Lytechinus pictus: one gene and its partners. Each later gene encodes a partner of the first gene's protein in a complex. Links are inferred from orthologs where the notes say so. Each region holds a gene or a part of one and is shown in the gene's direction. Other genes may lie near its edges. The genes, in order: chromatin target of PRMT1 protein-like, THO complex subunit 2-like, THO complex subunit 1-like and THO complex subunit 7 homolog.

What was found.
Region 2: chromatin target of PRMT1 protein-like (region 1) and THO complex subunit 2-like share a complex: the UniProt entries of both Homo sapiens proteins name them as parts of the transcription/export (TREX) complex. The link is inferred for Lytechinus pictus from reciprocal best matches to the Homo sapiens genes CHTOP and THOC2.
Region 3: chromatin target of PRMT1 protein-like (region 1) and THO complex subunit 1-like share a complex: the UniProt entries of both Homo sapiens proteins name them as parts of the transcription/export (TREX) complex. The link is inferred for Lytechinus pictus from reciprocal best matches to the Homo sapiens genes CHTOP and THOC1.
Region 4: chromatin target of PRMT1 protein-like (region 1) and THO complex subunit 7 homolog share a complex: the UniProt entries of both Homo sapiens proteins name them as parts of the transcription/export (TREX) complex. The link is inferred for Lytechinus pictus from reciprocal best matches to the Homo sapiens genes CHTOP and THOC7.

The regions. Positions count from the first base shown.
Region 1 is NC_087247.1:25,760,139-25,767,066, reverse strand, and holds the start of chromatin target of PRMT1 protein-like, read left to right. Parts: upstream 1-3,928; 5' UTR 3,929-4,353; intron 4,354-6,928. UniProt on the Homo sapiens protein: Plays an important role in the ligand-dependent activation of estrogen receptor target genes. May play a role in the silencing of fetal globin genes.
Region 2 is NW_026974140.1:1,412,899-1,420,847, reverse strand, and holds the start of THO complex subunit 2-like, read left to right. Parts: upstream 1-4,936; 5' UTR 4,937-5,021; coding exon 5,022-5,086; intron 5,087-7,949. UniProt on the Homo sapiens protein: Component of the THO subcomplex of the TREX complex which is thought to couple mRNA transcription, processing and nuclear export, and which specifically associates with spliced mRNA and not with unspliced pre-mRNA.
Region 3 is NC_087261.1:24,315,177-24,322,917, reverse strand, and holds the start of THO complex subunit 1-like, read left to right. Parts: upstream 1-4,725; 5' UTR 4,726-4,978; coding exon 4,979-5,032; intron 5,033-7,724; coding exon 7,725-7,741. Other genes in the region: uncharacterized protein LOC129279903, read right to left, coding at 4,590-4,646. UniProt on the Homo sapiens protein: Component of the THO subcomplex of the TREX complex which is thought to couple mRNA transcription, processing and nuclear export, and which specifically associates with spliced mRNA and not with unspliced pre-mRNA.
Region 4 is NC_087247.1:45,236,489-45,243,871, reverse strand, and holds the start of THO complex subunit 7 homolog, read left to right. Parts: upstream 1-4,380; 5' UTR 4,381-5,826; intron 5,827-7,383. UniProt on the Homo sapiens protein: Component of the THO subcomplex of the TREX complex which is thought to couple mRNA transcription, processing and nuclear export, and which specifically associates with spliced mRNA and not with unspliced pre-mRNA.

The DNA.
Region 1 (6,928 bases):
TCCGGACACACAACAACTGGGTATACTATTATTAGTAAGTAAGTGTTAGTGTTAATAATAATAATAATTCAGAGTGGAGAAAATATAGATTTAGGCCTAGGCCTATCAATCTATACCTAATTCTTGAGGTTGAATGATCCCGAGCTGGATGGCAAAACTTGTGTGCGTCACATCCAAGGTCACCTCACTCCAGTCGTCTAAATTTATGCAAAACTGGTCAAGTTATATCGGCAAGCGATCACAACGCAACGGTAATGGGATAACAAACAACTCTCTTCACTTCAGTATTCTACACAGCTAGCTAGCTGTACACATATACGGTATCACAGTACAGCGCCAGCTCTGATGCATCTGAGGTCGCGTCTGCGCCCCCAGGATCGCCGCGCCAGCGTACCGTAGCAAAGATACACTTTGACCGTAGCGTACGGGCGCGGCGCGCCCCCGTCCCCCTGGCCAGCCCGGCGATCTCGGTACCGCTTGCTGCCGGATTCCCACCACCACGACGTACATACGTAGGCCTACGTCTGTTGTAGTTCCGCTTCGTCCTCGAAAAACTCAGCCGTACAATTTTCGCTCGCGCTCTAGCGCTATCCTGACAGTCTACATTATAATACTATACCATCCAGAATGAAAAGGGGCTGAGCCTGAGATAGGTTTTTTGTGATCGTTTGGCACCATTTTATAGAGTAACTGGAGGTACTGCTAGCCTCAGGGGCGTAAAAAGGGTCGTCAAACATTTCTCGGTTGTAATTGTATCCGAATTGTATGAACAGACAGTGGCGTATATTATATACTGCAAAATTGGCATAGAAGACAAAAAAATCACAGCTTTAAGTTACGATAAAGCGAAGCAAGCAAACATTTCGACAATTTTATTACCAACATCAATAGATTTTGACATAATCAGAAAATATATCTTATCTCCACCTGTTCGCCACTTTCAACAGGATTTTTTTGTATTGTGCGGAGCCTGATTTGGGCCATATTTAGGGCAATTTCTATGCCGCAGTACGGTAACGTGATGAGTAAAAAGAGAGAGAGGGGGGGGGGGGGCACATGCCCCGGCGATACGGCGTGTGGCAAAAAAAAAAGCTGCTTAAGTCCCGATCGAGCGAGCGAATAAACAAATCACTTTTTCATGACGGAATCTAAGGTTGAGATAGATTTTTACACCTTATTCAGAAAATAGGCCTAGTCTTCCATTTAAGTTACTTGCTTATCTTTCTTTGATCCTTTTTTGTTGTTGTTGTTGTTCTTAGTTATATAGGCCTAACTATATTGGTGACCGTCAGTGGCCCAAACCCTGAATCTGGTAGTGCTATTATGCGGATCACGGGCCCCCGACGGGCCCCCGGAACCCACACTGCAAAAACTCCGGTGTTGATTTAACACCAGCCCGGAATCTATATATGTCCCGGGATATGTCCACACCAGTGAAGTATTGAAACAACGGTTTAGAATCAAACTGATGCTGTTTTAATACTAATTGGTGTTGTATAAACACGTATCTTTCTGGTGTTAGACCAAAACGAAACTGGTGTTGTTTAACACTTCTCTGGTGCATGTGGACATATACTATTCCGGGCTGGTGTTAATTAAATCACACCGGAGTTTTTGCAGTGCATTCTAAAACCTTATAAACATGCATGGCCGCTATTTTTAATCAAATCAGGGTATATAGCTTTAACACAACACATTAACCATGACCTAGTTATTGAAAGCAGTTGCGTAATAATACTTCAAGGGGGCACAACATAGCAAATTTTTTTTTTTTTTAAAGTCGCCAGCGGCGAGCGAAGCGAGCCATAGTTCTTTTGAAAAGAAATTTTAATCAAATCGCGGGGTGAGCTTTTACATGAACACATTAATTGAAAAGCAGTTGCGTAATGAACCACATATTCTTTTTAATGGGGCACAGCCACTGTAACAAAATTGTAAAAAGTCGCCAGTGAGCCAGAAAAAAATTCCGATTTGAAAACAAATCCTAAAAATATGTGATTTTTACATTAATATATTCAGCAAATAACATATCGTATTTCATTAATTCATTTCGTTTCTTTTCTCCTTTTAAATTTCATTTTATTTTCCATCGTCTGTGGCACCCGCCCCCCTGAACTGAAAATACGTATTTCCAGTTCAGTGACCCGCCCCCTACGCCATTTTTTTCCCCCGCGAAAGAAATGGCGCCAGGCCGGGCAGGCTGTCCCCCTACCCCCCCCCCCCCGCCTCGAGAGGGCTATAACGAATAGCGATATGATTCAATTCTGAATGATACTGTGAAATTTGATGAAATTTACATTAATTTTTACTGAGTAATACATGAAGATGCTTATAGGGAGTGTCCGGGCTGAAATATTTATATCTTAGTACATAAATATTATTAGAATAGGATTCACTAAGCAAAATGACGAAAATTTCATAAAAATCGGACAACAAATAATAAAGTTATTGAAGTTAAAAATTTAGCAATATTTTGTGAAAACAGTCGTCATGAATATTCATTAGGTGGGCTGATGATGTCACATCCCCACTTTCCGTTTTCTTATGTTATAATAATTATTTTTGTCATTATTTCATACTTGTGTAATGTCTCCCTTAATTTATAATGAAATAAGTTGCAGCAATAAATATATAATGCACTAAATCAGTTGCACTAGACGGTATACCTAAGGGGGGGGCAGACTGCCCCCCTGACGAGTCACAACTCATGCAGGGGACGTATCCCTGCCCCCCTGACAAGTCACAACTGATACAGACAGACGAGCCCCCCCCCCCCTTTGAGAAGCCAAATTAATTAATTTTAATGTAAAAATGCAATAAAAACAGACGTGTACTCCTTTTTTTAACCTGAAGACCTTTTTGCTATTTTTTTTTTTTTTTTTTTTTGCTTGTCAGATATTTTTCTGGTAAGAAACCCTTTTTTTTTGGTGGAAGACCTTCTTTTTTTTTTTTTTTTTTTTGCTTGTCAAATATTTTTTTGGTAAGAAACCCTTTTTTTTGGAAGGAAGACCTTTTTTTTTTTTTGCTTGTCAAATTTTTTCGCGGACGAAATATCCTCCAAAAATTTGCCCCCCCTTCTGGAAAATCCTATAGGTACGCCAGTAATTAGTTGTCAATCCAATTTTTCTAGTTCTTGGAGGAAAAAAAATGAATAAACCTATTTTCATATATAACTTAATGATTAAGGCGCACTTTCAAAATGATCGGGACATACCATCATTGTAATGGTAATTTAATTCACGACGCAGAATGACGCATTTAAGGAACAATTTTAGCAAGCGATGCGGAGAGATATGGGCCAAATAATGACAGTTCCACAGGTTCCAACCATTCCATTCTATGATTAATTTAAATGAATACAACATATTGATATTCTAAGTATATGTGGATAGTTTTCATGAAAACAGGGAATGTGTTGTTCAGGCAACTATTTTTAACATTTGAACCCGGTCTTCTAGTTTTCGTTTAATTTCTTTTATAATACTTTGTTAAAAGCTCCGTGGTGTAGCTGTTCCGACCCTAATCAGAGGGTCTTGTGTTCGAATCCCACCTCAATACAAAATAACAAGTGGGGATGTGACATCATCAGCCCACCTAATGAATATTCATGACGACTGTTTTCACAAAATATTGCTAAACTTTAGAATTCAATAACTTTGTTATTTGTTATCCAATTTTGATGGAATTTTCGGCATTTTGCTCCGTGAATTCTACTCTATTTATTAAGTTATAAATACTTTCAGCCCGGACCATCCCTTTAAACTCAATCTAAAAATACATAAAGCCTTTGAACGGCATTCTCGAGAACAGAAGATTGGGCAAATGATGAACTCTTTTTATGTTTATTCAGAATATTTAGATGCTGAAGTAACTGTGCAAAATTTTGTTGAAAATGAACATATGGATTTCATTTTCACTGTGGAATAGTAATGGATAGTAAAAGAGCATCATGAAGCACCATATTCAGTCACCATATAAACAAATTTCCGAAAAATTGTGGACTTTTGAAAATGGTCTGTCATAATTATGCAAGACTGAACCGATCAATCTAATTTTTTTCACTGGATTCACTCAACGCGTGTATAAGATCTCATGTAAATATTATATATTCAAATTATTCCATTCAAAAGTTACAGCAGTTTGATTAAGGGTGGCTTACATTTTTGTTGAGTATATCGAGCTGGGAGTCTCCCTGGGTTAATATGCAGCACGGAGAGATCAGTGATATGCAGCCGCAAACTTCGTGGCCGATTTGCAAGGATTTCCGCACGTACGTAATACGCCGACGACGCTAACGACACACAGATCAACCATCAAGCCAATTTTGAAGTCTTTTTTTGCCCGTAAATTACGGTATGTACCGACATATTAACTTTCTAACCTCACTGGGATGTAACACATTTATATTTCATTTAATTAGTTGATAGAAGGATCAAAACCGAATGGAAGTATTATGTATTTTGTACGGTCATGAATAGATCAACTGAGAGTCTGAGCGATGGTGTTCGTGTACGGTTAGCCTGGAGGCGTCTTGGGAGTAAAAATTATTTACTACGTAGACGTAGGCTTACCGGTAGGCCTACTCCCAATGACGCCTGCCACGGAAGGCATTGGGCCACACGAAGGAGAGTTTTTGGAGAAAACAATGTTGCTCCAAAATACTTGATTTGTTTAACTTGCTAGCCACACACTTATGTCTGTATGTACATGGACAACAAGTTCAAATCCCCCCATTACGTACATTTATTTATATTATAGGCCTAGGCCCTACTTAAAAACGATAAATATTAGAAATATTAAGAAAAATTATGTAAGAAGAAGATGAGCAGATACTCACTGATGATCTTGTCGCCATTTTCCTTCTTTGTTCGTAGCCTAGTTACAAGACGCGTATAAGATCGGGCGACGATATCATGAGCAGTGCCAATTAAAAAAAAAAAAATCCATCGGCTGATGAATATCGTGAATTGCTAAATACTTGCATTAGCTAATGAATATTTATTGGCTAATGCAAATTTCTCATTTCTGGCGCAAGCCTCTTTTTGAACCCCCGACAAAAACGTCCCATGTTCGCTCAAGCGTGAACAAAATTTATTAATTTAAATGGCATTTCAAAGATAAGATTTCAGAGCATTTATTAACATAAAAATATAGATATCATAATTTGAAACAATTTTTTATAGACTTTTCAAAAAGTGTTCCGTTTTTTTTAATACGCACTGTATAGTAGACAGCAGGCAGCCGTCAGTTTCGAGGAGTTTTTTTAAATTTCTCTTCGTACATAGCCCATTTACCCAGGAGGCTAAGTTCTAGAGAGTAAAAATCATTTACTAACGTACCGTACGGTATGCTTACTCTCACCGAAGCCAGGGATTTGATTGCATTCATCTTCACGCACCGCCAAAAAACCTCCAACTTTCGCCCCCGAGATTTCTTTTTTCCTTCTAAGATATCTAGCCCTAAATCATGTACATGGGATACAACTTCATTTCCGACATTTCTACGATATTGATTTCATTTTTAAACAAGAATTCATTAAAAAACAAGAAAAATGTTATGAAAAGTCAGGAAAAACTTGCCACCGTGTTTAGGTCGCCATCTTGATTTCATTGTCTTTCACTTGGCGACAGCACGCAAATCGCTGAACTCCATTGGCTCCATTCACCAAATACAGAGACCGAAGTTCTAACTCGATCTGTACAGGGACTCAATGGCCATATGTTTATGTATCAAGTTCAGACAAACCAAGGAAGTGGGAGTTGCGCGACAGCCGAAGTAAATCACTGTTTTTGTCCTTTTAAGTTTACTTTTTCCAGTTTTGGTGCATTTCAGGCCAAAACGGATTAATAATCTTTATTTTGGTCCAGTTCTTATTATATATTTTTATGAAATAAAGACAAAATTCGATGAGCCCCGTCGGGGGGGGGGGGGATTTTGCATTGTTAATCCCCCTAATGGCAGCTGCTGCACGATCGTGAGCCGTCTCTAAAGAGCGCGCTCCCTAGGGAGGGGGAGCAAGTTTTAGATATCTCATCAAATTTAAATAAAAAGAAGACATCTTTTGCGTCTCTAATAGTACCCTTATGAACACAAATTCAATAGACCAAAATAACCCATGAAAAGGATGTCTTTTTCAAGATAGGGCACGTTACATACATGTACATAACGCAATAAGGGTGTCAAAAACACTAAAATAATGAAAAAAGGGTAGGCCTATCTATATCGCTAGAAAAGCTACGTGTTTAGGGTCAAATTTGCAAGGGTATAAACAAGACAAATGTTTTATAAGCGATGTACTTTTTGCCCAAACAGTCAACGCTACGTGTTAAGAGCCTGATTTGCACGAGGTGTGGGAGGTGGGGCCACACTAAACCCAATGATGTACATGTAGGTAAAGGTAAAACCGACGTGATTTAACAATTGAAATATCGCTGTACTTTAGGGGTTCAATTCAGGGAATGCTTGACAAGGGTATCGTTTTGTTTCCAATACTTGTTAAAGGTAGGGTTTCACATACCAATACTATAAGGGGTGCATTTGCAGAATATGAAAAATACTTGTTTAGGGTGCTTTTCAAGACCCCTTGGTCGCGCATGGTATCCACTCGTCAATGGAAGCAATATTGTAATAAAATGAAGCATGTTTGATATTACTTTTTTTTTTATTCCAGTCAAATTTTGGTTGGGATGTACTTGCCCTTTAACTCTTAATGTGCCATTCACTGTAATCAGCGAGTGCCATTTTTTTCAAAGAGTCTATATTTAATTGTTTTATTTATTAAAAAAAAAGGGGAATCACTCCTGAGACAATGTTAAACCTCTTGACCATAAGCTGAACTGAACAATGGAATCACTCATGCATGCACTGCACTCCTCAAAATACAATAGGCACAATAAAAGCTGCATGACCATTGCACGAAAATGTGTTC
Region 2 (7,949 bases), on another chromosome or scaffold:
CTTTGTGGCTATTTTTCCGGAAAATGCCTTCGCCAGGGTGTAAAACGGAAACGCGCTCGCCGCATAATTCGATCCTCCGCGCATACAGTCGACAGATTGACAAAGAAAATATCGACAACAGATTACCCTGGAAATAACAAAGGTGTGAAATTAAGATAAATTCCCTATTTCTAAAAATTTTGGGGAATATGTCGAAATCTTTGAATTATGCCAGGTTGAATACTAGTACCCATACGGTATATAAGTGAGGAGAAGCGGGGGAGAAGCGTGGACCGGGTTCTGGAGACTGCGAGACGGCAGAACGCTACCCCGACAGAGCTCGGTTACGCCACAATACCATGACATGTACGATTATTTGTATTATGGATAATTATTTGTCTTTCGTGAACAGTGTTTTGTTAATATTGATTTGTAATATTTTACAATGTACCATTACTTTGAACTGAATGATTAATAAATATTATTACAAAAAAAAAAAGTCTATCGGACCCGCGGTCTATTTTCAGATCACAATATCAAAAATTTTCTGCTCGCATTATTAATGTAGAAAGATCCCCTATTACTCACCCTTTTCATGATTTACAAAACATGAGTATAGAGTGTCCCGTTTTTAGGTCTCAATCTTGAATTCTTCTGCTCAAGCATCAATTGTTTAGTTATACTTATATAGCTACCCTGTTCACGATTACAAAAATTGATTAAAAATTTCGATTCTTTTTGGCTCGCGATTCGTGCGTGCTAGCATATATTGATTGTTGAAATATGTAACGTCTTCATGGGTAAGTGCAAGCAGTCCTTAACAAGTACCTTTTCGATCGATTCAAATTAAACGTAAACTATATGAACGTTTTCTGGCTTCATTTCGCACTCGCATTATTAATGTAAGGACCGGGTGTAAGGAAGACCCCCAATTACTCATCCTTTTCATGATTTACAAAACATGAGTATAGAGTGTCCCGTTTTTAGGTCTCAATCTTGAATTCTTCTGCTCAAGCATCAATTGTTTAGTTATACTTATATAGCTACCCTGTTCACGATTACAAAAATTGATTAAAAATTTCGATTCTTTTTGGCTCGCGATTCGTGCGTGCTAGCATATATTGATTGTTGAAATATGTAACGTCTTCATGGGTAAGTGCAAGCAGTCCTTAACAAGTACCTTTTCGATCGATTCAAATTAAACGTAAACTATATGAACGTTTTCTGGCTTCATTTCGCACTCGCATTATTAATGTAAGGACCGGGTGTAAGGAAGACCCCCAATTACTCATCCTTTTCATGATTTACAAAACATGAGTATAGAGTGTCCCGTTTTTAGGTCTCAATCTTGAATTCTTCTGCTCAAGCATCAATTGTTTAGTTATACTTATATAGCTACCCTGTTCACGATTACAAAAATTGATTAAAAATTTCGATTCTTTTTGGCTCGCGATTCGTGCGTGCTAGCATATATTGATTGTTGAAATATGTAACGTCTTCATGGGTAAGTGCAAGCAGTCCTTAACAAGTACCTTTTCGATCGATTCAAATTAAACGTAAACTATATGAACGTTTTCTGGCTTCATTTCGCACTCGCATTAAGGACCGGGTGTAAGGAAGACCCCCAATTACTCATCCTTTTCATGATTTACAAAACATGAATAGAGCTCTCGTTCTTAGGTCTAAATCTCAAAATTTTCCGCTCGCGCTTCGCGTTCGCATCAATTGTTTAGTTATATACCTATTATATGTTTAAGTTACAAAAAGTGCTTAGAATTTCCAGTCTTTGGGTAAATTTTTTTAAAAAATTCAGCTCGCGCTCGCATTATTTTGATTGTTGAAATATGTAACGTCTTCATGGCCATATGGAAAACTAGCGGACAGAAGGTCCTCGCTGCACGCGCGCACCCTTATAACACGCAGAATTCCCTTGCATCATACCCTTTTTTCACAAACAAATGTGTATCAAGGACAAGCTTTGATTCAGATAGAATTTCCGCCCCCCTGAAATGAATGTTAACAACTTCTTCTATCAGATGACCATAATTTGTTTACATTCAGTTGGTGGGAAATATGGCACTTTATTACATTAAAATCACTCAAAACCATCCATAGTCAGGAATATGTATTGGGATAATGGGTTAGGGGGACATTTTTATAGTACCCGGGTGGATTACATCCGTCGTCACATCGGTGGGTGATGATATCAAGAATTTCCGCCCAGATTATAATAAAGGGCACATTGTAAGGCAAATACTCATGAAAGAACCATGGAGATTGGTTAATAAGGAAATAGAGCACTTTTATCATCAAATCAGAGGAGATTTTCTTTGTGATAGTGATGTCCGAAGAGCAAACCTACACTCGACGTCAGTGGCGTACCGTGGGTCATGGCATTGGGGGGGGCACTAGCAAAAATATTGAGTCACTTAGTGAGTGCGCGAAGCGCGCTCAGTTGCTAGGTATGCTGACCTAATAGAGACATTTAAAGGACAGTGTCATTAAACAGATATGTATGTCACTGGTCACATAATGCGAGCGCGAAGCGCGAGCTGAAAATTTTTGATATTCAGACCTAAAAAGGGACATTATAAGCAAATTTTTGTAATCATGATATGTACCTGTCTCGCTAAACAAACAATGCGAGCGCGAAGCGCGAACTGAAATTTTTATACATTGACCCCAAACGGACATTTTAGGGACTATATTTTAGGAATCTATTAAGAGTATACATATCTCACCATATAGTAATCTAATGCGAGTGCCAAGCACTTGCTGATTTTGTTAGAATTTTATGCATCCAAACACATAAATCACTTGTAGTCATTGTAATCATGACTAACATGCGCATCTCACTAATCAAATATTGCGAGCGCGAGCTGAAAATTTAGGAAATTCAGACCTGAAGAGGGTCATTTTAAGGCTTGTTTGTAGGAATTCACGAAGACCATACGTATTTCACTAACCAAATGAAGCGAGCGCGAAGCGCGAGCTGAATTTTTTTATATATTGACCCCAAACATGGATATTTTAAGGTCTATTTTTAAAAAGAATCCATTAAGAGTACATATATCTCACCATAGTCTTCTAATGCGGGTGCCAAGCGCATGCTGCATGATTTTGTTAGAATTACACCTAAAGACATACTTTTTGTAGTCATGATTATCATACGCATCTCACTAGTCAAATATTGCGAGCGCGAAGCGCGAGCTGAAAAATTAGGAAATTCACACCTGAAGAGGGGCATTCTAAGGCTTGTTTGTAGGAATTCACGTAGACCATGCGTATTTCACTAACCAAATGAAGCGAGCGCAAGCTGAAATTTTTGATATTCAGATCAGAAAAAGGGAAATTTTAAGGACTGATTTTAGGAATTCATGAAGAGCAGACATATCTCACTAATCCACTAATGCGAACATGAGCACGGACGGGAAATGTTTTATATTAAGACCTTAAAATGATATGTCACTACATAAAACAATTATAATTCGAAGTGCGAGGAAATATATTTGGTGAATTGACTTGAAAACGGGAGGTTTTAGTACAACAGGATTATATATCTCGTTAAACAGACGATGCGAGCATCAGGGACAATGAAGACATAGGCCCTGAGCAAATTATGTTTCATAAAGTTATGATATTTTTTTCATTTCTATTTAATATAACATGACATAATTATAATATAATATAACATAATTAACAATAATTTCTTCCTTCCCACTACGTTGCTCTCAGTTTCTCCCTCTTTTTCTCTTTTTCCCCGTTTTTTTTTTTTTTTTTTTTTGGGGGGGGCCAGCCGATTGGGGGGCACGTGCCCCCCATGCCCCCCGTAGTTACGCCACTGCTCGACGTGCATTCAACATATAGGGCTGGACAGAGATTTTTTGTACGTCGGTGTGTTGTTCGAGTCACAGCGGTTTTCTAGCTCTTTCCATTGCAGTGCTGAACATTTTATTAGGAATATATAAATATATATACCTTGTCAGTCCAAACTATGGATATAAATATATCCTAGCTTACCACTGCATAGGTAAGTCTAAAAAATAAGTTTTGTTTATTCCTGTCACTTTATAATGACGTTTTAAATCTTCAAACAACAATAATTTATGAAATTGACACAACAAATTACGCTGAAACATTATTTGTGTATACATTTTATCCCTCTGTAATGCTATATATTTCCCCCATAAAGCCGCAATGGAACATTCTGCACCACTAGTCATACGATGATCGCGAGGTCTGCAAACGTCGTCTGCTATGTTTTCACATGTCCGGTACACTATGCAAGTTTTCGATATGAACTGCAAGCAGTCTTTCATGTACCTTTTCCACCAGTTAACCTCTGCTCGCACTTTGCGTTCGTAGTAAATATTTACTTGCATATACATCTTTTTCAGGATAACAAACATTGCCCAGAATGTTCAAGTTTTAGGAAAAAATACATAAATTTGCCCAAAAAAATTATGCTCGCGCTTCGCGCTCGCATTATAAAAATAAGGACAATGATATTATATATCTATGTTGATTTATAAGAATAAAGCTAAAAAGTGACCATCGAGGACTACTCCTTCAATGAAACAGACAAAAATTACCTTCAAGCGGCCGATCGGGGATTAACATTTGGCTGAAAACATTTTTCGCCCCCCCCCCCTATTGGCGAAGGCTGGATCAGCCTCTGTTTTCCCCTCTACCTTTCGGGACAGATTTCCGCCCATGGTCTTCATAGCCTCCTCATAGTTATACATCCATAATAATTAAAATTAACTTTTAGAATTCGAGGAGTTAAATAATGTCAAGGAAGTCATGCTTTATTTCACGTCTATCCCCAATTTATATCACATCCTTTCCTACAATCCTACATCCTAATCCTCACGGAGAAATACAATTTCCCTGGCATCCCTTTTGTTTGCATCATTTCGGAGACGCAATACTCCATATTTGTTCTAGTCGCTATTATTGGTCGACAGTTTCAACGAGCCGCATACACACTTAGCTAGCTAGCTTTAGCTTTGTATCCGATATCCATACATTTAACATTTAACATGGCGCGTTACCTCATCAACGACGAAGTCTGTAAAAGTTGGGAGAAATGTGGCAGAAATGAGTTGTAAGTTGTCAATTAAATCAGACTTCAATTTATTTTTACACGAAATTTTTCATTTATACTCAGTCATAGGCTCTCCCATTCATATCTACTATGCCAGGCATAGTCTGGCGACAACAAATCATGGTCAATTCCACTCACGCTATTGTATGCGAGGACCGAACCTCGCACAATTCACAACCAACGACAACGTGTTTTTGTAGTGGATTTTCAGTCAGTCCGCAGCCCGTCCGAAAGTGCTCTATTTTATTCAGCGGTACCGGTATGCATAGCCGTCCGTGGTTATGCATACGTAATGAGCTGTGAAGACGAACTTTCCGATCGGTGTTTTTTGCTCTTAGAATCGTTTATTCCTCACATAATTGGTCTTATTTTATAGATAAAACTTTGAAATTTCTGATCAGCTAAATAAAATGCACATTTAATGTATTTTGAAGACCGATATTTAGCTTAGAAAAAATGATTTTTTTTCAAGAAATATATGTGAATAAACAGCGCATTTTTGCATCGAAATCACACTTGCGTCAAATTGATATTATATTCAATATAAAGCGTAGACATTCTTCTTTACGACTGAAAAAGAATTATGAAATTTCATGATGTAGCAAAGTCAGGAACCACAAAAAACCACGGCAATGTCCATCGCGAAATGATTGGAATTGTAGTAGAATTGCCGACGCGTTCTGATTGGTCAACAGCGGCGCACAGACTTACAACATTATATATAGCTTAAAAATCCTGGAAATAGTACGGAAGAGATCGATGGCGAATTGCGTGAGCTCTATGTTTTGACGTGTGCGCTATGTTTTGACGTGTGCAAGGACCCTGGTTCGAACCCGCCGGATTGTGTTTTTTTTTTTTTTTTTTTTTTTTGGGGGGGGGGGGGTTGATGGGGATATGTTTATGCTTTTTCTTTAAATCATATTCCTTCATCGTTCCTACCCAGCTTTATTCTCTTTTTACTTTCTTCTACTTCTTCTTAATCACTGCTTTTGATTTTCAAGTTCTTGATTACACCTATTTAGTATTTGGGCAGGGGTGGGAAGGGAAGTGAGTTAAAGGTCAAGTGCACATCAACTCATAAGTATTTGAATAAATACAGAAATTTCCCTGTTTTAACACAAAACAGTTATATACACAAAACAATGGTATGCAAATAGAGTTGATTATGTCACATCAAATTACTTTTTAAATTTTTGTTGCATTTTTATTATATAAATTTTAGCAAATTTGATGTAAAAAATCTTTCTCGAATCACAATAGGTTACGTTTATGGAAACTACGAATGTTAATGGAGGAATTAAAATCCCTCTCAAAATTTGTTAATGAAAATTAAAATAAAATATACATGTCATGTACATGTATCAAACAAAAAAATACACAAGAAATTAGAGTGCGTGTGACATAATCGGTTCTGTAATTTGCACATTGACCAAGATGAGCATATAATTGTTTTATAAAATTAGGCAAATTTCTCAATGTCAAAATAGTAATTTTTTGAATTTTGAATCATAGTTTTTATGAAATTCTCTGCAATACTTTATTTTTCTTTAAATTCAAATTAATTTTTTGGTGGGGTGGACTTCTAATTGTCTAAACATATGCAAATCAGTAATTCGACACATGCTCACTTTCCTTTCATCCAGGCCACTCCCTCACATCCAACAGGTTTACAGTCTTATAACAAAAATTATTAATTAATTATAATACCATCACACCATAGCTCCATGATCACACAACATTCATACAGTGCTTCACAACAAATATTTCACTTCTGTTCATATATGCAATAATTACTGTGGAAAACAAAAACAAGGCGTAACCACATTCAAATACCGTTTAAAAGGACAAATATATCATACCTTTCGAATAAAAAATTGTGAACATATATGGCACTTAACCTTCAGCACATTAGATAACATATAACACAGTTGCTTGAGAACAAAATATAATTATGGGGCATTGCAAGAAACTTATGTTCAATTGCAAATCAACTACATGTTTGTGTTTAATGAAAGGACATACCCTTAATTTTGGAATGTGTGATTGAGTAGAAAGTTTCTTGCAATGCATTAAAAATGTTCTTTCGTTTTGAATTGTGAATTTTTATTTATGTCAAGCTGTATTCCTGTCCAAGTCAGTATTCTTAGTCCTCCCCAAAACTGTGCTCTAATTTTTTTGTTTCCAATATCGATAAAGATCAATTTTCTGTTGTATCATTATCAGTCAAAAATTTGCAAACGAAAAAAGGGCTTTGTCCAAATCATGGTCTGACCTAAGCTTGTAACCGATTTTGCAATCGGCAACCGATTCCATTCGATTTCACCACAATCGGCAATCACTTGCCGATTTTCGATCATGCCCCTTGAAGGAAAAAATCGAAAAAAAAAATCGGCGTAGATCTGGTTACAGTGCGTGATCGCTCAGAACATATTTCAAGATTGTTTTTGAGGTGCTAGCTATTTAGAGGTCGCATTATTCAGGGAGAAAGACGCGGTATTATCTATGGCGATGTTTAAGAGGATAGATATCTTCTCCTCCAACTCATGGTGATAGCGGATGCCGCCGTGAACTTTGAAAGGTCGTATTACCGACGGAGCTCACTGCGTTACTCTCTTACATCGTTTATAATGATATAAATCTTCTCTTCAACCTCGTGGTGATAGCGGACCCCGCCATAAACTTTTAAAGACTGTACTATTGACGGAGCTTATTGCGTTACTCTCTTACATCGTTTATGATGATATGCATTTTATTTTCAACCTCGTGGTGATAGCGGATGCCGCCGTGAACTTTGAAAGGTCGTACTATTGACGGAGCTCATTGCGTTACTCTCTTACATCGTTTATGATGATTTACATTTTAT
Region 3 (7,741 bases), on another chromosome or scaffold:
TGCAGAAGAAGTCTTGCTTACTCTCAACTCGCATGATCTTGACACAGCCATTAGGAAACTCAAGCTTCACAAAGCCCCAGGCCTCGACAACATAACTTCTGAGCATCTGGTTCATTCAGGTCCAATTTTCCGTCGCCTTCTTCTCCTTCTCCTCCAAAACTCCATCAAACTGGCACATCTTCCAGCATCATTGAAGGAAGCAGTGATCATCCCACTGCACAAAGGAGGGAGCAAACCGGTCAGCGAACCCTCTAGCTACAGAGGCATCTCCCTGACCCCAACTCTATCAAAGCTCTTGGAAATTGCCCTAAAACCTAAGATTGAGGACTCCTTGGTTGAAGTCAACACACCTGACGAACTTCAGTTTGGATTCCAAGCCTCAAAGTCCTGTATTCTCGCTTCACTGACCCTTGAGATGCTTATTGTGCTGAATACATCTCGGAAGAAGCCAACATATCTTGCCCTCTTGGATGCTGCTAAAGCTTTTGATTGTGTCTGGCACCCTGGCCTCTTTCAAAAGCTAGCTGACACTCCTATACCACTGGAAGCTCAGTCTACATTGGTGGAAATGTACAATGGTGCATCCAGCAGAGTACTATGGAAAGGAGATGCCAGCTGCTCCTTTCCTCTTCAGAAGGGTGTGAGACAAGGAGGAATCCTCTCCCCTCTTCTCTACAACATCTTTATTGATGGCCTGATTAAGCTGCTAAGATACAAAGATCTTGGATGCCACTGCCAAAACCTGTATGCTGGGGTAATTGTTCTAGCTGATGATGTGGCCCTCATAGCTTCCTCAGCCAAAGAACTTCAATGCATGCTGAATCTCATCCATACCTATGCAACCACATGGAAGTACAAGATCAACCCATCAAAAAGTGCAATCCTCGTCTTTAATGGGCAAGACCACCTCAAGCACACTTGGTACCTGAATGAAGAGGAAGTTCAAGAAGTCAGTCAGCATCCCCATCTTGGTGTCACCAAATCTTCAACATCTCAAGATCCTGCGCCGAACATCATTGCCAAGGGATATAACTCCATATTCGCTCTGCTAGGTGGTTCGGCTTCAAGAAACAACTTCTGGCCTCCAACCATTGCCAAGTTGTGGACCACCTACTGCATTCCTAGGATGCTATATGGCATTGCTGCCATTAGAGTTAGCAAGAGGTCCAGGGATAAGCTAGACTCAGCGCAGGCCCTTCTCTTCAAAAAGTTCCTAGGGCTCCCCAGAAGCACAGCAAACGAGGCAGTCTTTCTCCTTACCGGAATCATCCCTCTCTCTATATGCAGATCGACCTGAACACCTTGATGACTCTCGGGCAACTGGTTACTTTACCAAGCGATAGGTTTGAGCACAGAATACTTCTAAATGCTCTCGCTGCCGATGTCCCTTTCATCTCCTACTGGAAGCAGCTAATCGCCAAATACAGCTTGCCTGCCATCCTGTCTGGCTCCCTGAGCTTCGACTACCTCACCTGGAAAAGACTGTGCCGCCAGGCCATCTTCAAGAAGCACAATGCTGGCCTAGTTGATGCCACTCAGGAGAAGCACACTCTTGCCTTCTGGAAGCAATGTTCAACGTTTCCAAGCCCTAGCAGTATATTCCCCCCTGCACTACCTTCACACCTCCGTATTGCTGCAAGACTTCGCTCCCAACTTCTGACAGGCACCTACCTAACACAACAAAGACTGAAGACCATAGGCAAGTCTCCCAGCGCCACCTGTAGACTTTGCTCAACGGAGGAAGAAAGCTCCACCCACTTCCTTGCTTCCTGCCCAACTCTCAAACCCCAACGGTCTGTTCTCATTCAACATGTCCCATCTCTAAGCCTCCCTGCTTGTTAGCCAATTAGCCTTCACCTCTGCTCATCCCCTCATCCTTGCCACTAATATCTTATTACCCTCCTCGCACCTATCTGTCACTCTTGCTGCCAATGTCATGACCCACTGCCTCAGATACATTCTTAAAATTCATCATATTCGCTTAGAGAAATTGCTTCAACACAACAACCAACCTGCGGATAGCCGCTGATCCTCGAATACCGGGGGAAGAACAACAAAGAAGAAGAAGAAGCATGGTATAATTTATGGCTAAGTAACTTAGACATGACCCAAATCTGGGCAAGGTTGCCTTCCTCGACAGGAACTCTGAACAGTAGAGGCTTGTTGTTGTTCGTTTTGGGCCTGTTTCACGCCCTAGTAGTCTCCTCGGTAGACACTTAGTGTTGAGAACTCAAAGGTAGAGGCTCCCATGTGGGAGATCACAGGTCTCAAATCTCAATTGGTGTTCAATCATTACAGGGACTCGATTTTAAGGCGCGCGAGAGCGATCGCGCGCTACATGCGCGCCTTAATCCATTTTTGGTAGCGCGATTAATAGCGCGCCTCGCGATAGCTGACCTGCGCGAAAATGCCTAAAGTCGCCCTCGAAATCACCCAAAATCATGCTTTCGGGGGCGACATAAAATCTGAATGTCGCCCCCGAAATTATTGCAGAGTGATAACAACTCAACGGCCCACTAGTGCCATATGCTCGAGCTCCGCTTACCATTTAAAAACCATCCAAAATCCACACTCAAAATCACGAATAAGCCTTAAAAGTAGCGAGTAGCGCAGTTTCAAATTCCGAAGTTGCGTTATTTTTTCTGTACCACGTATTTCCATACACATGGTACCAGGTATGGAAAAAAAAATCAACGCATCGGTCGGGAAAGAGTTGCATGTATAGGGGTCCATTATGACTACCACCGTGTGCCATTTCGAATGCACATGTTTCCCCTACAGATATCACAATTCTGTGATAAAATAATTCGAATTACACAGGAAATAAATCCCAGAGTCTAGTAACCTAGCATTGGTGAGTTGTCATTCGGCTTTGCTTTTCATAACGGCTTATTAACTTCCAAAATAAGTTATCTAATTTATCAATTATAACTAAAAAATCATTTGTTTTCTTTTTCTAGGGGATGAGGTATTATATCAGACAATAAATCATCAAACAAAGCTCCATCTTTTTTACAAGGACGGCGGCAGGCTCACGCATTGGCGCTTTTACTAGCTAGCCAGTTGGAGCTCTGTCTCTCTGCCAGAGCTCTGGGGGACAATTCGCTCAGTAAAGGCCTCAATGATGGTGATTTTCTGTTTCAGACAGAGTTTACATTTCAGGAATATTATTCAAAACTGCCAATAAAGTTTGATGATTTCTTCATTGTCATGTATATTTAAGTTCTTAATGAATACATTCTCACCAAATTTAGACTCCCCCATAGAGAAATTAAATTTTCATGGAGATCTGCGTTTTCAAAGAACTTCAGGAAAAGTTAGGGTATGTGATGGGCCTTTATTACATGTACTGTACGACTAGGGTATTGTACTGGAATAAATGGAGTAGAAATTAGATATTGAATTCATTTATATCCAAGTCCAACTCACAGTCACACACACACGCACACACCCACACACACCCACCCATCCACACACACCCACATCCAAGATTCTAAACATGATAAATAACTTTAAAAATCATACAATATTAAACAAAAAGTAATAATTCCTTAATAAGTGAACAGGTATTCCTCAAAATACAAAAAAGTAGCATTTAAAAAGAGCCCCCGAAATTTGACAAAAAAATTAAAATGGAGCCCCCGAAAAAAAAAAAAAAAAGTTTTGACTTAACTTTTAGCCAAAGTCAAAACCTAACTAAAACAGGTTTTACAACACACAATCTAATTACAATACATTGTAAAACAATTATAAATACTTCCTTTGGTTGTTGATTGTAATTTTATAGTACATACATTTCCTCCATCCATTTTGTTAATTGGGCAAAAAGCTCCCCTTGTATGTTGAAGAAGAGCTTTTTGAAGTGCTCCTCTACCGCTCTCCTTAAAAGTTCTAGGAGAGCTTTTTATTGCTCCCCTTATAATTATAAAACCGAGTCCCTGCATTAGTTGGAAGGATGACTAACAAAAATATTGCTCTCTGCTGTGCTGCAGGTTTTTTTTCGGGAGGGGGGGGGGGGGGGTCCAGTGGCATACAATATTGAGTCTAATTTTTTTAGGGGATGACATATGACGTAAAGGACAAAATTTCTATTTAAGCTAGACCTACAAGCTAGGACGCAAAATAAAAAATATTGACATTTTTTTTTTCATTCATCATGTTCACCTTTCGTTTCACTCATGTCTCATGATTGACATTTTTTTTAATTCATTCATGTTCACCTTTCGTTTCACTCATGTCTCATGTCTCATGATTCATTAGTTACTGATTTACTCATTCTTTCACTCATTCACGGCGGCTGATTCTTTCCTTCCTTCCTTCCTTTCTTTTTTTTTCTTTCTTTCTTTTTTTTCTTTCTTTCTTTCTTTCTTTCTAAGTTAGGCTCTCGCTATCCTACACTGTCAATGGACACCCAGCGCGCGCTACCGCGCTACCGCCCCGGGTCAAGCTAGGCCCTAGCCTGGCCCTGGGCTAGGGCCGGGCTGGGGCGGTAGAGCCAGAGCCAGACATGCCAGAGGGATCATGGCATGTCATGGGTCCAGTGCAGCGCCCAGCCTGGCGCTGACTGGGCTCTCTTTACGTAAATTTACCTCGAACTTGATATTCGATGTGTTGCCGCTTACTTTTGCAGCCAGTTTGGAATCCATACTTGTAAGGAAGAATGTTAAAAATCAAATCCTTTCCACAACTATGGTCTATGCACAGCCAGTGCGCGACAGTCAGCGTGTTGACAATTTGCGAAATGAATAAAATAGTCTTAATAAAAGACTTTTAATTACATAATCGTTGACTCGGGACTAGATATTTTCTATTTTCATATCTTTTACACCGATTCCTGACATTCATAACAACGATTGTTTTTATTCTTTAAAATCAACGAAAAGGCGGTAATTATTTTGGTAATTTGGTCTCTTTAATTCTGTTTTACTTCGTTTATTTTAAATACAAAAATCCTAAGCTGAAACTAATAAAATTAATCATGGCGGCCTCCGAGTCACAGTTTGATTTTGAAGCCTCGAGGGTAAAATACTTGGTAAGATGTTTTCTGACCATCTAAACATTTATTTATTCTATAAAATCATTCATGTTTTGATTCTTGTACATTTGGATCAAAATTTTAGTTTGGCTCTGTATCATTTTAAGCTTATTTCATCTTGTTAAATCCATTGTTAAATTCTGAGTGTCATGTCTGCGAGTGTCACTGTGTGCTGTCCCATATATTGTAAAATTTGTTGTGTTTAAATCTTTAATTTCCCGACTTGTCTGTTGGCTATTGCCATATCCGTGTAGCCAGGAGGCTCCTGGAGAGTAAAAAATCCTTTTTCTAACGTAGGCTTACTCTCTTAGGAGCAGCAGGGATTGGGTCCCATTCATGCGCGTGTAATACGTAACGTCGTAGGCCTAGGCCTACCGCAAAAAAAATTAAACCTTGGGCCTGGCTTTGGCCTTTGCTTGGCTTCGCCCCAGTCCAGTCTCCAGAGTCAGACTAGACTGCACATCGTCATTGACTGCAGCAGAGTTTTTTACTTTATACCTTTATACCGCATCTACTGGAAAAATAAAGTTGTTCCTGCAGTCAAGTTTCCAGGTCTATCTTGTTGTCTTCCTAGCTTGGATAAGTTCGAAAAACTGAGTCTGCTATTTGTGCAATGTGCTGTGCCAATGTATTGAAATGAAAAAGGCACTATTCCCATGCGTGAACATAATTAATGCCACGCAGACCAGAACTTGTCTAACTTTGTCTTGAAGCCATTGATTGTTGATGCTGTGACTACCTCAGTAGGCAAAGAGTTCCAGTCATTAACCACTCTAACACTGAAGGTGTTTTGTCTCACTGCCAGTCTACTCCTTTTCAAAAATAGCTTGTAAGGGTGGCCACGCGTTGCTTGAGTGGTAGCTGTTGTGAAGAATAGGTCTCTATTCACATCATCAATGCCCTGAATTATTTTATAGGTTTGTATCATGTCACCTCTGCGCAGTCTGTACTTGATGGAGGGTAATTTCATTTCACGCAGTCTTCTACCATAGTCCATTTCTTTCAGGGCTGGTACTAGCTTGGTCGCTCGTCGCTGGACTTTCTCAATAGCCTTCAAGTCAGAAGCATATCTTGGGTACCATATTCCATTCGCATATTCAAGAATTGGTCTCACGAGTGACTTGTACAACCTTTTGATGTTTTCTTTGTCTCTATGCAAGAAAGTGTGTCGAATCATAGCAAGCACACGATTAGCTTTCAAGACTGCGTTGGCTACTTGGGAATGGAATTTCAGTTGAGAGTCCATAATGACTCCCAAGTCTCTTTCCTCCGAAACTTCCTCCAGCACATCTCCATCTAGATGATACTGATGATGGGTATTCTGATGACCTAGATGGAGGGATCTGCACTTTCTAAAACTCTACACGATTAAATCTAGCCCTAAATCATGTATTGTAAATGAGATACAAGTCCAACTTCATTTCCGACATTTCTACGAGTAGGATATTGATTTCATTTTTAAACAAGAATTCATTAAAAAAACTAGAAAAATATTATGAAAAGACGGGGAAAACTTGCCACCGTGTTTACGTGGCCATCTTGTTTTCTTTGTCATTCGCCAAGATGACAGCACGCATATCGCGATATCGGTGGCAAGTTTTCCCAGTCTTTTCATAATATTTTTCTTGATTTTTAATGAATACTTGTTTAAAAATGAAATCAATATCGTAGAAATGTCGGAAATGAAGACTGAAGTTGTATCTCATTTACATGATTTAGGGCTAGATCTTTTAGAAAGAAAGTAGAAATTTCTGGGGCGAAAGTTTTATTTTTTTTTGCGGTACACGCGCATGAATGGGACGCAATCCCTGGCTCCGTGCAGAGTAAGCCTACGTTAGTAGAAAGATTTTTACTCTCCAGGAGCCTCCTGCATTGTGACTACATAGTAACATACCAACACTGCATTAATATGCACACATGACACACTAAGCAGTAGCAGTAAGTAGTACATGTAGGGGATGTTTAACAATTGCAAGTAGGATCTACTTAAATGCAAACACGTATCTAAATTAAACGCGCGCAATCTAATTCAGTAATTGATCAATAAGCAGTAGTGCACCTCCTCTTTGCATGATCTGACCAATGTGGTTATGCCTTTTATACCGCACGCAACTAGGCATTTAAGTGCGACTCTAAGTCTAAGTCATGCTAAATCTTGTGAAACACCCCCCCCCCCCCCAAGAGTTCTAGTAGAGGTCTACAGTCATGACTGTCTTTGTACTTTTTTTTTATATAGCTTTTGTCGTCTTTTGATACTTTTTACTTTTGTTCCCCCCTTTTTGTTCAGGCTCTTGTCATTGTCAGGAGTGTTTTATGCCTCTAGCTGTAGGCGGCTCAATTATTTTCAGCAGACTGAAATCTATTTCACAAAGCTACATGATAGAAAAGACACCATACATTAGAGAACAGTCTCTTTGAATTTGTCAAATGTCAGTTTGCCTTGGGATTGGAGGTGACAACAATTTTTTTATGGCCACATTCATTGAAAATGAAGTATAATATTTGATAGTAGTCTAATTCTTGTTATATTTCATTATGTGGTTATCTTCTTATCTGTAGCTGTACTACTGTTATATGTAAAGAAAACTGTTATAAGTTTGAAAAAAAATTCATTCTTCATTTTTTATTTCATGCTAGACCCCTATTTTTTTTTTAATGCTTTTTTAATAACTTTTCTTTTTTGTTGTAGTCGAGTTTGGATGCATC
Region 4 (7,383 bases), about 19 Mb from region 1:
ATGAAACCCTTGAAACGAGCTGAATCCATATAAAAAAGAAAAATAAAAGAAACATATTGTTGAAAGTTTGAGGAAGATTGAATGAATAATAAGAAAGTTATGAGCATTTGAATATTGAGATCACTAGTGCCATGTAGATCCTCCCATCGGCAATGCGACCAACATCTGTGCTGTCACACACGTACAACTCCCTCATTACTTTAGTACTTATTTCACTTATATTCTCACTTTTATAGAGTCTAGGCACATTTTTGTTAAACAATGTGATATGTCTCTTGTTCTTGATTGGTTTGAATAAATTTGAACTTGAACTTGATTTGAACTTGAACTTCTCTTTATGAGATGACAAGTACAGAGGTTTCACAACATCATATCATTGATGAATCGTTTGTCATATGATTAGAATGAGCAAAAAGAGATGTTTTGGGGTATATTTTCAGTGTTCAAATGGGAGAGTTGTACGTGTGTGACATCACAGATCTTGGTCGCATTGCCAATGGGAGGATCTCCATAGCATTAGTGATCTCGACATTGAAATGCTCACAACTCTGTTATTGCTAGTCCTATTTTACTCAAACTTTTGTTGATCTCATTCTTTGATTTTTCTGCTTTCACAAAAGCTAACTTGCTCCAAGAGTTTCATTCTCCTTTAACCTAAGGTTAAGTTTTTGAAATGTCATCATAACTTAGAAAATATATAGACCTAGTTCATGAAACTTATACATAAGGTTAATCAAGTATCACTGAACATCCTGCATGAGTTTCACGTCACATGACCAAGGTCAAAGGTCATTTAGGGTCAATGAACTTTGGCCGAATTGGGGGTATCTGTTGAATTACCATCATAACTTTGAAAGTTTATGGATCTGATTCATGAAACTTGGACATAATAGTAATCAAGTATTACTGAACATCCTGTGCAAGTTTCAGGTCACATGATCAAGGTCAAAGGTCATTTAGGGTCAATGAACTTTGGCCAAATTGGGGTATTTGTTGAATTACAGCCATAAATTTGAAAGTGTGTCGGTCTAGTTCATAAAACTTGGACATAATAGTAATCAAGTATCACTGAACATCCTGTGCGAGTTTCAGGTCACATGATCAAGGTCAAAGGTCATGTAAGGTCAAAGAACTTTGGCCACGTTGGGGGTATTTGTTGAATTGCCATCATATCTCTATAAGTGTATTGGTCTAGTTCATAAAACGTGGAAATAGAAGTAACCAAGTATCACTGAACATCTTGTGCGAGTTATAGTAGTTTTCAAAATCAGCACTGCTGCTATATTGAATCGCGTGATGCAGGTGAGACGGCCAGAGGCATTCCACTTGTTTCTGGAGAAGTTGATACCACTTTTCATTTTATACTGTATTGAAAATATGTTAGATTATTTTGGAAAATTATAGAAAGATTGGTATTTTATATTTTCAAGATTATTATTTCTATAGATGAAAAACATTAATTATAGGTTATGATCTGCAAAATTCCAGCTATGTTTTGTGTAATCTATAATTTTGTGTTATTGTTCAATTTGTTATTTATCAAAATTATATAAAAAGCATATTCAAAGGAAAAAAATATGCAAATTCTTTATGGATTGAATTCAAGCTTACTATGATTATTTATTTAGAAAGTTTATATCAACAAAGAAAAAAAATCTGAATTTTGAAAAAATGTGATATTCAAAATAGTATTGCATTATTGAATTGAATTGATTTTTTTTTTGTATATATATATATGTACATGTTATTGTGAATAAATGTGAATAAATGCCTCGATTAAGAGGATAAATGAAAAAAATCATATAACTTGACTCTTAAGTAAATTTGATTCTTTTTTCTAAATTAAAAATAGAGATTGAAAAATGAAAAATTTCTTGCCATATTACTTTCCAACAAAAAAACTTTCCACCAAAAATAATCCCAAAATTCAAGTTTTTGAGCGCTCTAGTGAATACAAAAATTATTCCCAAGTTACTAATAAAAAAATAGATTACAACTGTATGGAAATTAGTATTTTTGGTCACAAAAGTGTTATTTTCATGATTTTTTTAAGTGCGTGTTGTGTTCTGCATTGGCATATCATAGTCCTACCTGTAGATTCCCCACAGGCAGGATGGTTGCAGTGAGCAAGTGCCTCAATGCAGCTCCGCAGGGGTAGGCTTGATCATGGGGTTTATTACGTGCCGCCGCGCACAGAAAAATCAAGCCATAGAAGTCGTGTGTTGTGGACGCCAGAAGTGGCGTCGCAGCACACGCGACCCACTAGTTAGAAATCCACTGTGGCTCTTTGTGCGAGGTGACTTACCTTGCACTACATGAACCACGAGATCTAGTGTGAGTGACCTCAACTTGATGTTCGTGTATAGTCGCGTATTGTATTACAGGACACTATCATGATTATGGACGCGCATATTACTGCGTACGAAAACAATTTTGTACTGTAACTATTGCACAGTTCTATTTCACAGAGCAATACATAGAACAAGATTGCAAAAACAAGGCAAAAAAATCCAACTTTTACCTTATTTATCTCTAAAATAAAGTACGGGTTGTGTGGTCCAGTGGTTAGAGCATTGGAGTCATAATCGCAAGGTTGTGAGTTCGAATCCCAACTCTGCCATTGTCTCCACTTTGATAAAAAGGCCCGAGAGTGATATCTGTCGTCTATAACGTCAGCCACTATGACTGATTAACCTAGACGTAAAATGTTTCATAGGTAATTGGTTATATGCCAGCTTGGCGTTTACCAGCAAAATGCTGTCCTGCCGAGTTCCTACGAGAGTTACCACAAACAGAAACAGAAACAGAAAATGACAGAAAATGCTTAAAATATCATATAACATAGTTTTGCATGAACAATTGATATATTTTCTGACGGAAATATGGGCCTGATTTGACGAATTTAAATCTCGTCTGCGCGCCCCTTCGATCGAATGTTGAGGTGTGGTGTATTGTGGGTGATCATCGACGGCTAGCTAGCTAGTTCTCGACTCAAGGTATACCCTTGCGCGAGGTTTACCGTGATAACGTGATAAGAGCCGTCAACGATCGACAGCGCATCGATAGATCTTGATTAGCGTCACGATACGAACAAGCATAGTAGCCATGGAACATGCAGTTAAAAAAGAAAAAAAATAAAATTAGTCAGCAAACCCAAATTTATTACCAATATCTGCTCAGATTCGATGTAAAAAAAGCAAACTAAAAACTTAGAATATACCCATGATATGATATATGAAGAAAAAATTCACACTAATTCTTCCTTACATCATTATAATCAAGAATATCTTTACCCATCCGGCTCGCGTCCGCAATCATGATGTAATTTGTCACATGCGAAAATAATTGTTTTTCGTGGAGGGGTATGAGGCAAGTGCGATGCAAAGAAAATGATTGGTAAATATAAAAATAATTTTATCATATTCATAATTTTCATACTATTTGGAATAGCAAGTGCGAAATTTTCATGATTGTATTTCCTCTAATCTAATTGTCATTTTTAAAGCACTGAAATAAAGGTGTCCGGCAGTAGGATACACTGCCATACTGTAATGTAGGCTCCACTTCACCACCGCTACACCTACCTGTGTAGTGTAGCTGTATTGAAGTGGAGTGGAGTCTGGAGCCTACATGAACATCACTTGAGGTAGATTAAGCCAGTGACAGTGTATGGTATTTTTGGATCGTATTACCAAAAACTTTTCATAAATTCAATCATATCATACTCAATATTTTCTGAAAATGCATCAGACCTCCACCAAAAATAAACAAATACCTACAAATAAAGATGTAATATTTTTGCCAAGATATGTTGCCCTTTTTATCAGCTTCCAATCACTCTCTTTCGAAAAATTTTGGTCACCACTCACCTGAGCTGAGAATGGTATTGTATTGCCATCAACACCAACACCGAACTTGAAATTAGCCAATAGGCTTGACCTTTGACTTGCTTCGTTATGACATAGACCTCTAGCTAGGATGAGCTACATTATGAGGAGCCATTTTGTAGAACAATGTGGAGAAATTATTATTAAACAAATAATAATTATCTTACATTTTAGTTGGTAAATAATCACCATATTTTAATAGTTTATTGTGCAATTTCAAGCATCTCAGCCAGACTGTACACTGGTAGCATCTTAACAGAACGTCGTAAAGGGATATGGGATTTCATTTATTGCTCCAGGCCTCTGGAACTCCTTTCTTCACTCCGTGAAATTGACAACATTGAGCTCTTCAAATTGTCTCTCAAAACTCACTTATTTCAGCAGATGTGTAATAATTAGCTTAATTGGATGAGCCTGCACCTACCTGTTTGAATGCTTTTAAAAGAAATATGGCGCAATATAAATGCGTTGGATCATCATCATCATCTGTCGAGGCTCAGATGGGTTGGAGTTGTGATTCTACCCTGCTTCCACCCTCGCGGTTGGAGGGAAAAAATTTTGCAAAATCCTTCCTGAATAATTCTTCCCATTATATCAATAAGAGCTTCTTGATAAGAAGGGGTAGTTTTTTCACTTTTCTCACTTTGCCGACTTCGTGTAACGCTTTGCATCGATTTTGTAGATGATTTTGGTATCCAATTTCAGAGAATGTCTCCACTTTGGGAGACCATTTTTTTTTGTTTACATTATATGAGGCAGCTCTAGGGATTACCTAGACCAAAAGCTTCTGTCTGTATTATATTGGTTGTTCCGCTGAACTCCGTTGGCTCCACTCACCAATTACAGAGACCGAAGTTCTAACTCGATCTGCACAGGGACTCAATGGCCATATTTTTATGTATTCAGTTCGAATAACCAAGGGAAGTGGAAGTTGCGTGACAGCCGAAGTATTAGTCATTGTTTTTTTTTTCGTTTTAAGTTTATTTTTTCCTGTTTTGGTGCATTTCAGGCCAAAATGGAATAATAATCTTTATTTTGGTCAAGTTCTATTTATATATTTTTATGAAATTAAGACAGAAATTGATGAGCCCCGTTGGAGGGATTTTACATTGTTAACCTTCAAATGGTAGCTGCACGATCGCGAGCCATCTGTGTAGAAATTTAAAAAATAATGAATGTTTTTAAAATCCTCGAAACAGCCGGCTGCCAGCTGTCTAGGGATTGCCTTGCTGGCAAACAAACCTGTGATGTGCAAATTCCTCGTGAAATTTACTCCTCTTCACCATCTACTATAAAATTTACATCAATTTTATTTTACAAACAGTTTTATTTTTATCTGCAATAGATTCTTTACACACAAATTAAATGGGATTTTAATGTCAGCAAGACAAACTTTTGGAAGGGAATAACTGCCTTGTTGGTGTTGTTTCTTTTATCCCCAATAGGACAGATTGTCTCCCATATTGGAGAAAGTCTCCAATATATGCGGTGTGCCTCTAATTTTAGCTGTTTAGAATGTTTTGAAGTCATCTTTGTCTGATATTTGGCACTGTTCAATATTTGTTCACTTTACCTAGGATTTTCCAAAGGGGGAGGGGGACAATTTTTGTTCAGAAAACAATTTAACAAGCCCCCCCAAAAAAAGTTCTGGTTCTGACAAAATTAGGGTTGAAATCAAAGTTTAAATTAAATTTGATAAATCTCATCTTTTGCTGGGGATGAGGCCTAAGTATTATTATTCGTTATGTATAAAAATTCAATTTTACTAGTATTCAGGTGAATGATAATTGAATATCCTTTTTTTTTTCATACTTACAGAGGAAGTGATACGAAAAAGGCTGCTTATTGAAGGAGAGAGTGGAGGTGATGATAGAAGAATCAGTAATCTACTCAAAACCTTTGTGAAATGGTGTCACACGGATCAGAGCAATGAAGAATGGTTAGTTTTCTGTTGATGATTGTGGCATACTGTTCCTTGCAAAATCATTTGAACCCCATAATATATTAAGTAATCTATTCTAACAAAATTTTGGTTTAGTTCTGTATGGAATGAAAGAACCAACTAGATGGTATGTCAACGAGAAATTTATAGCCTCTTATTTAATTAACATTAGGAATCATTTCCATCTTTGCATGAATGGGTATGGTCAATCAAGTGAATAAATGTCATTACTGTACCTTTCTGTGATCACTGAAGCATACCCTGTAATGCTCAAATGATGCTGGCCTGTTCATTCAGGTTTTTTTATTTTTTTTTTATTGAGGACATAAAGCCTTCAATTGATAAAGGATTCATAGTATTTCCTTTTCAATTCATGTCAGAATGAACAAACTCAGTTTAAATGATAAGAAATGTGTATCAAATGAAAAAGGATACTTCATCTATCGAAAATTTGAATGATCAAATCATGATCTTAGAAGGTTGACAAAATAAATGCAAAATATCGTAATGTTGCCACTATTTGTTCATGTATGAATGAAAACAATTCCTAATCGTGATTAAATCAAAGACTATTGCCTTATTATGAATTTATATATAAACTGGGTTCCAAAAGAAACTGATCAAACTTTCAAGGGCACTGCACAAATTATAGCTCCATTGTCAAAATGAACAATATTTTTACACAGGCTAGCTTCAATACTCTAAGCACATGTCAATGATTAAGAGATTGGTTTCAGAATCCAAAGTTACAAAATGGCAAAAGAAAGACCAATAAAAATGAGATGAGATTAACCCTAAAAGGACAGGGAGGGGGGGGGGGGCTATCAGACAATGATTATGCCGAAAATGGCTCATTTTTATACTTCATGTACAAAGTCTATGGGAGATGAAATTCATAAAAGGGTGATTTTTTTTATTCTGATTGATCTGCTTGATTAATTTAGGGTTTAATTTAGTTGTTAAATGGTTTTTAATAATTTCCACTGAAAAAAAAAAAAAAAAAAGGGAAATACTTTAGAAATTCTAAAAACAAAGAGATACATAAGGAAAAATTTGACAGTTGCAATTTTTTGTAGAATCCTTTAGATAAGATTACACAGATGACATCTGGGAACAAAAGAAAATTTGAGGTGAAATTGGATGTTAAATATACAAATAATGTTTTTCATTAATATATATGCATATTTTGTCCATAATAAATAATAAATAATTAATTTTGGAAATTTTGTTTGTACTGGCTTGTAGTTAATGTGGTAAAGAATTTCAGCACAATCACATGAATGGCAGCCAAGATGATACCCCCCCCCCCAGTCCTCAATACATCTCAAATAGCCTACCGTAGTCCTAGGGTTCAACAAACGTCCCTATTTATCACACATGTGCTTCACAGGAATGTTAAAGAGATTGACTTGATCACAAAAAGCTACAGGAAGTTTAAATCAAAATTTTAAATGACTGGAACAATCCAACACACACAGATTCCAAGGGGAAGTCCCGGTAAGCGGGGGATAATCTGATGGTTCCATGACATTTGCTCCGGCAACAATTGCTCCG